Linked DNA regions of Ovis aries. The protein of the gene in region 2 interacts with the protein of the main gene of each other region in a biochemical or structural test. Links are inferred from orthologs where the notes say so. Each region holds a gene or a part of one and is shown on either strand. Other genes may lie near its edges.

What was found.
Region 1: the proteins of KIT (region 2) and YES1 form a complex in vitro, tested with the Homo sapiens proteins (2 studies listed by BioGRID and IntAct, with this or other methods). The link is inferred for Ovis aries from reciprocal best matches to the Homo sapiens genes KIT and YES1.

Annotation. Positions count from the first base shown.
Region 1 is NC_056076.1:36,065,775-36,071,326, reverse strand, and holds part of YES1 (tyrosine-protein kinase Yes), read left to right. Parts: intron 1-4,152; 5' UTR 4,153-4,260; coding exon 4,261-4,525; intron 4,526-5,552. UniProt on the Homo sapiens protein: Non-receptor protein tyrosine kinase that is involved in the regulation of cell growth and survival, apoptosis, cell-cell adhesion, cytoskeleton remodeling, and differentiation.
Region 2 is NC_056059.1:70,941,538-70,946,628, forward strand, and holds part of KIT (mast/stem cell growth factor receptor Kit), read left to right. Parts: intron 1-2,155; coding exon 2,156-2,267; intron 2,268-2,366; coding exon 2,367-2,466; intron 2,467-2,813; coding exon 2,814-2,919; intron 2,920-4,013; coding exon 4,014-4,142; 3' UTR 4,143-5,091. UniProt on the Homo sapiens protein: Tyrosine-protein kinase that acts as a cell-surface receptor for the cytokine KITLG/SCF and plays an essential role in the regulation of cell survival and proliferation, hematopoiesis, stem cell maintenance, gametogenesis, mast cell development, migration and function, and in melanogenesis.

The sequences.
Region 1 (5,552 bases), on a different chromosome or scaffold from region 2:
AACCCCAGAGATGGCAGCCCACCAGGCTCCCCTGGTGATTCACCAGAATCCCTGGGATTCTTTAGGCAAGAACACTGGAGTGGGTTGCCATTTCCCTCTGCCCCATCTTGAAACCAATGATAATCCTTTCCGGTTGTGTTTTGATACATATGAAAGCACTCCTGACTCTTAATTGCTGCTTCCTAATTTCCTTGCCTGCCTATCCCTTATCTGTAGGTGTCCTGGAGCACTGTATTAATTTTTCACACCCCTCCAAATCTGTACCTTGGGTGAGTTTTATTATCTCCAAAAGGTGTAATAACACTGTGAAAATATTTTCATTTACTTTTTCTCTGGTTTCTGCCTCATTGTGAGTTTTAGATTTTATTATCAGTTCCCCACTCGATTTTGCAACATCATTCCCAGCAGGCCCCTAAAACTAACTTCTGAAACTGAACATGTTGGTCCAGAAAAACCTGTTTCTCTTTTCTCAACCTCCGTTATGGTGTTGCTTTCCGTTCAGTTCAAACTAGAAACTTTGGAGTCATCCAGCCCTTTAGCACACAATTAGTCAATACTTTTAAAGTGTCCAATAAATTGTAGGGAGTGCATGCTGCTGCTGCTGCTGCTAAGTCGCTGCAGTCGTGTCTGACTCTGTGCGACCCCATACGGCAGCCCACTAGGCTCCCCTGTCCCTGGGATTCTCCAGGCAAGAACACTGGAGTGGGTTGCCATGGCCTTCTCCAATGCGTGAAAGTGAAGTCGCTCAGTCGTGTCCGACTCTTCACGACCCCATGGACTGCAGCCCGCCAGGCTCCTCCACCCATGGGATTTTTCCAGGCAAGAGTACTGGAGTGGGGTGCCATTAAATGACTCCTTTTTCTTCACATCCACCCATAACGAGCCACTCATCTAAACTTGATTATTGTGTTTAGTGTTTGCCTCTCATCTCCCCCTCACCTTTGGCCCCACAGTATTCCTGCTTGTGTACTTCCTCACATGGATCTTTGCAATAGTTTTATGACTTGACTAACTGCCATCATTATTTCTTTCCAGTCTATAACTCGTGCTTCCACCATAGTTATTCTCAAACACATATTTTCTGCTCTTCAGCTTTTTAAGGATCTCAACTTTCCAGTACTCCCTGGATAAATCTAAAAGTTACTTCTTAGCAAATAACCCTCTGTGTGTGTAAATTCTCCTCTAACTAGCTGCCTGTCCCACCATTCTCAAAAACATGCCCTTATATTTCTGCCACAGTTTTCTGTTCCCTGATACACCTTGCTTTTCCAAACGTTAGAGCCATTCTTCACACTTCTTTCCTTCTAGAATATTATTTCCTAAATCTCCAGCCCTTCAAAACTAGCTCAGTGCCACTGTCTGCAGAATTTTCTTTCCCAGGCTCCCAGCAGAGCTGATAACTTTGGTGGTATTCCCAGCATGTTCGTATATACCTCTGCTCTGGCATTTTTTGTTTTCACTCTGGCAGTTTTCCCACTGTGCGTGCATACATGCCTGCTAATTCACTTCAGGCGTGTCCAGCTCTTTGGAACCCTGTGGACTAGAGCCTGCCAGGCTCCTCTGTCCATGGGCTTCTCCAGGCAAGAATCCTGGAATGGATTACCATGCCCTCCTCCAGGGTTTTCACATTGTACAATACTATGATTTTTCTTATACTTACTTGTGACCTTTTTAAGGAAAAAGAACCATTTCTTGGCATCTTTGGCTCCCTTTAGAGTGTCTAATAAATATGTTATTAATAAATAATATATCTGTAAGCTAGTAGCTTGGAACCTGAAAGAGGCTTTCACTTATAAGTATTTTAAATCATGTTATGTTTCTAAGAGAATCCATTAAAATCTTTTAAATACATTTTACACCTGAAGATTACTTAAAAAATAGAAGTCACATTCCACATTTATAATTGTTTTTCTGCAGGAGCCAGCAGTGATGGCTCCTGTATATTTGTGACTAGTTGGACCAAAGATTCTGGATTAAGAAAAAGAAACTGGAGGACAGGTTAAGCGAAGTAATGGAAAACTGGAAGGGTGGGGGCGGAGGGGGAGCTAGAACTTACAGAGGAAGAGTTAAGTTAGGAGTGATGTCTTATGGGGAGAAAAGACCGTAACAGGAATCCTGAGTGAAGAAGGTGAAAATGAGAAACTAAGAAAGCTGGAAATGGAAATAAGGGTGGGTCAGGGATACAGTAACTTTGGTTATGAAGTGATATATTTCAATTGGTCTGTTATCCAATTTAAAGTAAGTTAGCACCCATTGTGGCTTTCATAATTTTTTCTCCATCATACAACTGCTGTTTTTTCAAAGTCTATGTCATTATTAAAATATTTTCTTAATATTTAGACTTCAGATATTGGTAATAGTGAAAATTCTCTGTACAGATGTTAAAATATTTTTTGTAACTTAATGTATTTTGTGGGTATATATTGATGGTTAAAATTCATGCCTCAGCCTTGAGTATTGAGTCAAAATTTGCCAGTCTGATAGCAAAAAGTATACCTTTAGAGATTTGCATTTATTTGAAGATTGGGGTGATTGGACATGTCTTCATACGCTAATTGGCCTTTCATGTTTCATTTGTGAATTGCCTCTTGATAGGCATTCAGATTTTTCTAAGGGGCTATGTGTATTTTCTCATGTGTAAGAGTTGTCTGTATTGTGTGAATGTGTGAAAGTTGCTCAGTTGTGTCCGATTCTTTGCAACCCCTGGACTGACTATATATATAGTCCATGGAATTCTCCAGGCCAGAATATTGGAGTGGGTAGCCGTTCCCTTCTCCAGGAGATTTTCCCAACCCAGGGATCAAACCCAGGTCTCCCACATTGCAGGCGGATTCTTTTCCAGTTGAGCCACAAGGGAAGCCCTTGTCTATATTAAGAACCTCAACTAATTCTTATATGGTACATTCATGTGTTGAGAGAGCAAGTAAGAGCATGAGCAAGTACAGAGACATTTTCCCTACTTCTCATGTCTTTAGTTTCACTTAAAAGTTTCTATGCCCATACCTGCCCCCCACCCGCAAGTTAATCATATATCTCTTCGTCTTTTCCTTTAGGGTTTCTAGAAACTTTCACATTATGCTTTAAAAAGGCTTTTCTTTTCCAACTACCGCATTATGAACCAACCTACCTTACATTCCTTCTGACGCTTTCAGACGCAACTGCCTTTCATATATTTAGCTTGTCATTGTCTCATAGTGTTTTCAGTAGATACTTAGGCTTCCAGTCCCAGTCATGTTCCTATACTGCGCTTTATTGTCACATCTTCTGAATATACCGGTTTTAAGATAGTGATCTAAAGACATTCCAGCTCTGAGATCTGAGACTGTTTCTGTTTTATGCATAAGATAAGTGAGGAAATGATAGGAGGTAAAGTGGGAAAGATAGACTGGAATCAGATTTGGCAAGCATTGAGGGCGTGTCCATCACTAGGGAAAAGATACAGCACTGCATTGTCCAGTGGAGTAGCCACTAGCCACATACAGCTGTTGAGCACTTGAGATGTGCTTGGTCCAAACTGAGGTGTACTGTGAGTTTAAAATACGCATCAGATTTCTACAATTTAGTACAAAAGAAGAGTATAAAAATCTCACTAACATTGTTCATACTGATGACATGTTGAAATATATATTACTAGAATTAATTTGATCTGTTATTTTTTAAATGTGTTTACTGGAAAATCTAAAATTATAGATAGGAAAAAATAAAATTATGGCTCAGATTCTGTTTCTGTTACACAGAGCTGGTATAGGTAGAAGGAAAAATGCCAGAATTTGCTAGTGCCTGCTGTGTACCAGAGATAGTCTAGAAGTTGTGATAAATAAACTTACTTCTCATGGAAAACCTTATGAAGTAGGTGATATTGTTTTCTTTTTTCAAGGAACTGAGGTTGCAGCGAAGTTAAACAACATACCTAAAATCACTCCACTAGAAAGTAGGAAGCCAGGATTCAGACTTTGGCTCCTGACTTCAGAGCCCATGGTTTTCCCAGTACCCTGTGGCATGTTGTCATTGAGCCATAAAGGTGATTGAGCTGGAGAATGACATGATTAGAATGATATGTTAGCAGAACTGTAATAAAAATAAATGAGGAGAGACTTTATTTTTAGCTGCCTAGGGTTTTTTGGTTTATTTGTTGTTGTTTCTTTTTTGCAGGAGAGAAATGCCTGGTTTAAAGGCAGCTGCTAAAGTATACCTCTTCTGAAGCATCCTTTATGATAACTGCTTCTCACACTTTGCCTTATCACCTTGGTAGGCTTGATAATGGGCTGCATTAAAAGTAAAGAGAACAAAAGTCCATCCATTAAATATAGACCAGAAAGCACACCAGAGCCCGTCGGTACAGGAGTCGGCCACCACGGAGCAGAGCACGCTGTGGTGGCACCAACATCCTCCGCAAAGAGCACATCTGCCAGCTTCAGCAGCCTCTCCCTGACTCCATTCGGAGGGCCCTCGGTGGTGACACCCTTTGGGGGAGCATCTTCCTCATTTTCAGTGGCACCAGGTTCATATCCTGCTGGTTTAACAGGTGAGCTTTAGATGGACAGTCTGTTTGTTTGAGAATGTGACCTTGGGCAATAGAGACATCAAGTTGGTGTTCTGTAAGAGAAGTAAGTTAAGAGGCGGTACGGGGGGTAGGGGTGGGGTGCTTAAGTTCATGTGAAAATTAAAAATCTCCAACATACAAAGTAAACTCTACGTGGATATTATTCTCAGAAATTTGACAGTAATCTGATGGTGATTGTGTACTGGTTTATACCATTAATTGGGCTTCCCTGGTGGCTCAGATGGTAATGAATCTACCTGCAATGTGGGAGACCCAGGTTTGATCCCTGAGTCAGGAAGATCCCTTGGAGAAGGTCATGGCAACCCACTCCAGTATTCTTGCCTGGAGAATACCATGGACAGAGGAGCCTGGCAGGCTACAGTCCATGAGATCGCAGATTCGGATATGACTGAGTGACTGGCACACACTGTTACCATTAATCACTTCACTAATTCATTTTTCAAATAATTACTGGGTGCTGACTGTGTGGCAGGCATTGGGAATATAAAGATTAAAAATGTATCCCCCTCCCTCTAGAATGCTACCAACTTCTGAGGATTATAAAGTGCTGGCCATTATTAAAGTATTATAGTAGTTATTTAATGTGTTAGGTAAAGGCAGTTTCGTGATCATAGTACAGTTCTGTTAGGTACTGCTGATTGAAAAAAAAAAATCCTGAGGCTCACAGCTTAAGTGATTTTTTTTTTTCCAGTCACAGATGATAAGCAGGAGGACACATATTTAATGCCCTTTTCTAAAACTTTGTTTATTACACTGCAGTGTCTTCAGAGAACAGTCAGAAGTGATGGCCAACAGCCTTTCATGGAGCCAGAAATGCTCTAAAAAAAAGATAGTCAGAAACTTTAAAAAGAGAAGTAGTCCTTCTGTGAAGGGTCCCCTACCAGGTTGCTTTTCCCTTGAGTAACAAACAAAAGTGCAACTGACTTGTAAAGGTAGGGGAGGTTCTAGGATTCCTTGAACCAGTAGTTTTTTCATGTCATCAAGGACT
Region 2 (5,091 bases):
ACACATAATGTAATATTTCCTTCTCCATCACTAAGGCGTCTCTGTGGGTGGGCTGTACTAGACTTGGTTTTTGTAGAAATGTTGCTGGGTTTACTTTCTGATGACAGTATGTGTTTCTATAATAATAACTCGCTAAGGCTAGGAGTGTTAATAACACCAAGTCCCCACCATCCTGGTGCACTACTAGAGGGAAGAATGAAAGGTGGTTCTCTATCCAGGCCTTTGAATATTGACAAAAGGCTAATGGGTTCCGGGCCCAGTCTTGCGGAGTTCGAACCTGGTTCTATCATTTAGTGAGTGTGTTGTATTTGGTAAAGATGACCCCAGCACCTCTGATTTCTTTTATTAATAGATCCCAAGTTAAGAGCCCCTATAAGAACTTTAGCATAAAATCTGGGAGGGGATACTAGAAAGCATTCTTATTTTTTTCCTACTGACTAAAATAACTTTAAGACCAGAAAAAAATTGTCTTCCCAGTTTTGGGTCCTAAATGGATTATGGGAAGGGTTGATTTAGCTTTCTGTGGTAAATTAAGATCCAAGAATCCAGAAATGTCTCTAAGAGGAATAGTCACAGAAAGTTTGGCTCGATGTTAGCGGAAGGAGTTCAGGATGTGAAGTTCAACTGTTGAATTTAAAACTCTGAATCTGCCACTCACCACCTTGGAATAGTCATAGTCAGCATAAGCCACTGCTGTCTTTATCAAGTGGTTGGTTATACAGGGCAATTTTCCAGATCCTAGTGAATCAGCCATACCGAACTAAGCACTGGTACCCACATTATCTCATTTAATCCACAAGACAACTCATGGAATTTGAGGTTTGATTTTTGCTTTACAGAAGAATATCCTGAGGCTTCTATTACAGATGTATGTGATGTTCCCAGTGTGTTAGTAAGGGATAACTGTGGCTGTATTTGACAGAACACCCAAAAGGAAAGTAAAATAAGTATAGGAGTTGCAGGCCAGGCCTGGTATGGAGGTTCTGTACCAGGGAACAAATTCCTCAACCTTTCCATTTTATACCATCCCTGGTGTGGGCCTTAGCTTCATGGTCCAAGACGGCCTCAAGAAAGCCAGCCAACATATCCAGAAGACAAGACAGTGGAGGAGGAGACAAGAAGGAAAAGGCCACAGGACACATGCCAACTTCATATTAAGGAAGTTTTCCAAAAGCTGTCATACAATACTTAGTGGCCAAAACCAAGCCACATGGCTGCACACAGCTATGAAGGAGCTGGGCAATGTAGTCCTTACCCTGGGAAGCCACATTTCTATTAAAGGATAAGAGTAACTACCCTTCTTTGGTAACTAACCTCTGTGTTACACAAGGCCAGTGGTGGAGCCCAGGTTAGAACCCAAGTATCTGTCTCTGACAACTATGTTCCTAACCACCAGGCTGTACAGACTCAGTGACCCCCATGTTGAAAATGAAGATAGTACTGGGGCTTCCCTAGTGGCTCAGACAGTAAAGAATCTGCCTGCAGTACAGGAGACCAAGGTTTGATCCTGGGTTGGGAGCATCCCCTGGAGAAGGAAGTGGCAACCCACTCCAGAAGACAATATTACAGTTGACCATTGCACAAGGCAGCGGTGAATCTCAGTATAAATGAAAGCCAGAACTCCATATCCATGGTTCCTCCACGTCCTTGGATTCGACCAAGCATGGATCATGTAGCATTTATTATTGAAAAATATTCTTGTATAAATGGACCCATGCAGTTCAGACCCTCATTGTTCAGGGGTCAGCTGTACTCGTGATCCACATATTTCAGAGGTAGTCAGAAAAAAAGTAAAAAATCATAATTCACAAGAGTTCCCTGCTGGTCCCCTGGTTAGGATTCTGGGCTTTCACTGACAAGGCCTGGGTTCAGCCCCTGGTCAGGGCACTGAGGTCCTGCCCACTGCTTGGCATGTATACCCCACTCCACCCCACAAAAGTAAAACCACCCCAAACTAAAAAAATCACACATAACATAATTCTCAGACGTAATCAGGGTCCTCTGAGGTCATATGGGTAGAAGGTCTTTGTGAGGTGCCCATCAAGTTCTCACCCCACCTCTCTATAGGAATATTTTCTATTCAGTTTTTGATTTTTTTTGATTTGTTAATCACAATGTGATTAACATTGTTGGATCTTCCATGCTTCCATTGCAGGCTCGACTCCCTGTGAAGTGGATGGCACCGGAGAGTATTTTCAACTGTGTGTACACATTTGAAAGTGATGTCTGGTCCTATGGGATTTTTCTGTGGGAGCTGTTCTCTTTAGGTAAAGTGAGCCTTGCCAAAGGCACCTTAATCACACTCAGAGCTACCAGTGCTCTCCTTGCTTACTGTCATGCTGATTTGCAAACTGTTTGTGCCTCAGGAAGCAGCCCCTACCCTGGAATGCCAGTCGATTCTAAGTTCTACAAGATGATCAAGGAAGGTTTCCGAATGCTCAGCCCCGAGCATGCACCTGCGGAAATGTAAGGGCCCAGATGTCCTTCCTTCAGATAACGTTTCCTCTTTTGTTTTCCTTTTTTAAAGACAGAAACCCGTATGTTGAGGGTTTTCACTAAGCATAGCTTGAAATGTCATTTGGTTCCTTGTAATGACATCCTGGGCAAATGTTATTTCTGTCGCTGAGTTTCATAAAACTCACTACCAAATAAAGTTTTGGCGGAGTCTCAGTACACACAGTTTTATTTTATACCCATGTCATTCAGTATGTCCAGTTGTGTAACCCTGGAATTAAGTTTGAAATTGTTGAATGGCATATATCTGCTGATCAGTTAAGGGCATTGCAGAGTGATAATTGGCCCTGGTCTTGCAGGTATGACATCATGAAGACCTGCTGGGATGCAGATCCCTTGAAAAGGCCAACATTTAAGCAGATTGTGCAGCTGATTGAGAAGCAGATCTCAGAGAGCACCAATCATGTGAGTATACTCTAGCCAGGCATAGGACCTCCATTTTCTCGGTTCCAAAGCATGTCCTCCTCCTCAGGTTCTGGGGGTGAGGACTAAGCTACCCACCCTTTCTCTCCTTCACTTAGGCTATAAATTGAGTGGGAAAGTGACGCAATGGAAACAAGTTCTTTTTGCCTAGCCCCCTACTCTGAGCCAAGGGATATGAGATGAAGAGGGGAAAGAGTAGAGGGCTTGACGCTCAGAAGTGTGGGCATAGAAGTTTCCATAACGATTTGCCACTTTTCCTTCTTCACCCCAAGTGTTGGTCATGGGAGTTTGCATCTTTTCTGTCTCACATGTCAGGCCATTCAGCCTTTGGAGGGTTGCGGTAGGGCACGTAGAAAAAACAGCTTGTTCCCTGCAGTAAAATAAACCTTCTGCTCAAGTAAGTATAACCACAATATAGCAGATAGCTTTCATGGCCGCAAACCGTAGAGAATGAAGAGTTGCTTGAAGTTGAGGGATCCCTCCCAGTGATTTGAGAAGCGGGGAGTTCAAAACTCAAATTCATGATTTCTTTTGCTTTTAAGGAAGAATGAGTGATCCTTACTTCGACTCAGATTTTTTTTTAACCTGCTTTTTTCTTCTGGATTGTGCGTGGAGCTATCTTTTCTTAAGATTATACCATTGATACTTTCAGGTTGAAGTTCGCTCTTCTGGGTGTCAAAGCACATTTCAAATTAGACAGCGTTTCACACCCAAGTGCCTGGTTCTCAATGGAAGAACCACCAATTTCTTAGTAAGTGACATCAGCCATTAGATGGGAATTGGCTATAGAAATTTATGCACCTTTTAAAAAAAGTTAGGTCGTTCTCATTCCTAGATGCATCCCAGCAGAAAAGCACATTTTGGACTATCACTTCTTATGTAATCAGACCATGGGAAAATGAGGGATAAAACAAAGCTTATCCTTGGTCAGTGTGGTTCAGTTCTTGGCTGTAAGGTCTTGTCAACCTCCTGGCTGTAAGAATCTTCCTAAGTTATTTGCAGTTCCTAAGCTGCACATGTGCCCCTTTGTTCCTTGTGGGGGACTGGCGTATTGACTGTGGATTTATTTTCCTCAGATTTATTCCAACTTAGCAAACTGCAGCCCCCACCGGGAGAACCCCGCGGTGGACCATTCTGTGCGCATCAACTCTGTGGGCAGCAGCGCCTCCTCCACGCAGCCTCTGCTTGTCCACGAAGATGTCTGAAGCAGAGTCTGCATCCAGGGGTCTCCTGAACAACCCCGGCCCCCCTCTCTTTTGGTTTTTACAATGGTTCCTTTGTTTTCCTTCGACTCGAATCCTACTCAAGGGTAGTGGACACCCTGTCTTTATGAGCACCCTTTAGTGGCCGATGATTTTTGTCATCAGCTACCATCGAGCTGCCTATGTTCCTAATAGCACACTAGCCCCTGCTAACGAGGAAACTTCAGACTTGGAGAAAGGGTGGGTGGGATGGACTGGACACACTGAGTCCTTCCCAAGGTTTCTCCAACTTCTATCCGAAAAATGTAGTTGATAGTTTTGAGTACATAGCAGTAGTCACCTTCATTCCTCATAATCACCCATGATGGTATGATGATGCAGCAAGGCTAGAAGCTGAAACCTTATCCTTTGATGTGGGAAATAGAATGTTATTCAAAGGCCAGAAGCCTATGAATATCTGGGCTCAAGAAATCTAGTATTTCATGCTGGGAGTAAGACATAGGCCATGGAAAAATGCTCTCTGCTCCTGAATAAAGACTGCTGGGCATGAGCCTTTGTGCTTCTGACCTGGTTTCTAAGTCAAATTCACTAATAGTAGCTGAATTGGAGAGATGGCCTCCCAGCCCACATTTTGTATATACTCATCTATAAATTGTACACATTCACATATTGAGGGGGGGGAACCCACAAGGTGTAGTTTCTGAATACAATTCTGGCTTGAGTCTGCTGTGTATAGGAATAACTGATGAGCCAGAACAAGTTTGAAGGAAACAGTGCTTTAAAAAAAAAATTATTGCCAAGCACAGTCTTAACAAAAATCTCCTTTTGTAGCCGATGAACTTGCTCTAGAGATTGTCCAGAACAAGCCGACCAGCTTCAGAATGTCATCGTGTTCAGTGGATTTGATGCCTTTTGCAAAAGTGATTTATTGCATGACTCTGGCAGGAGTGAC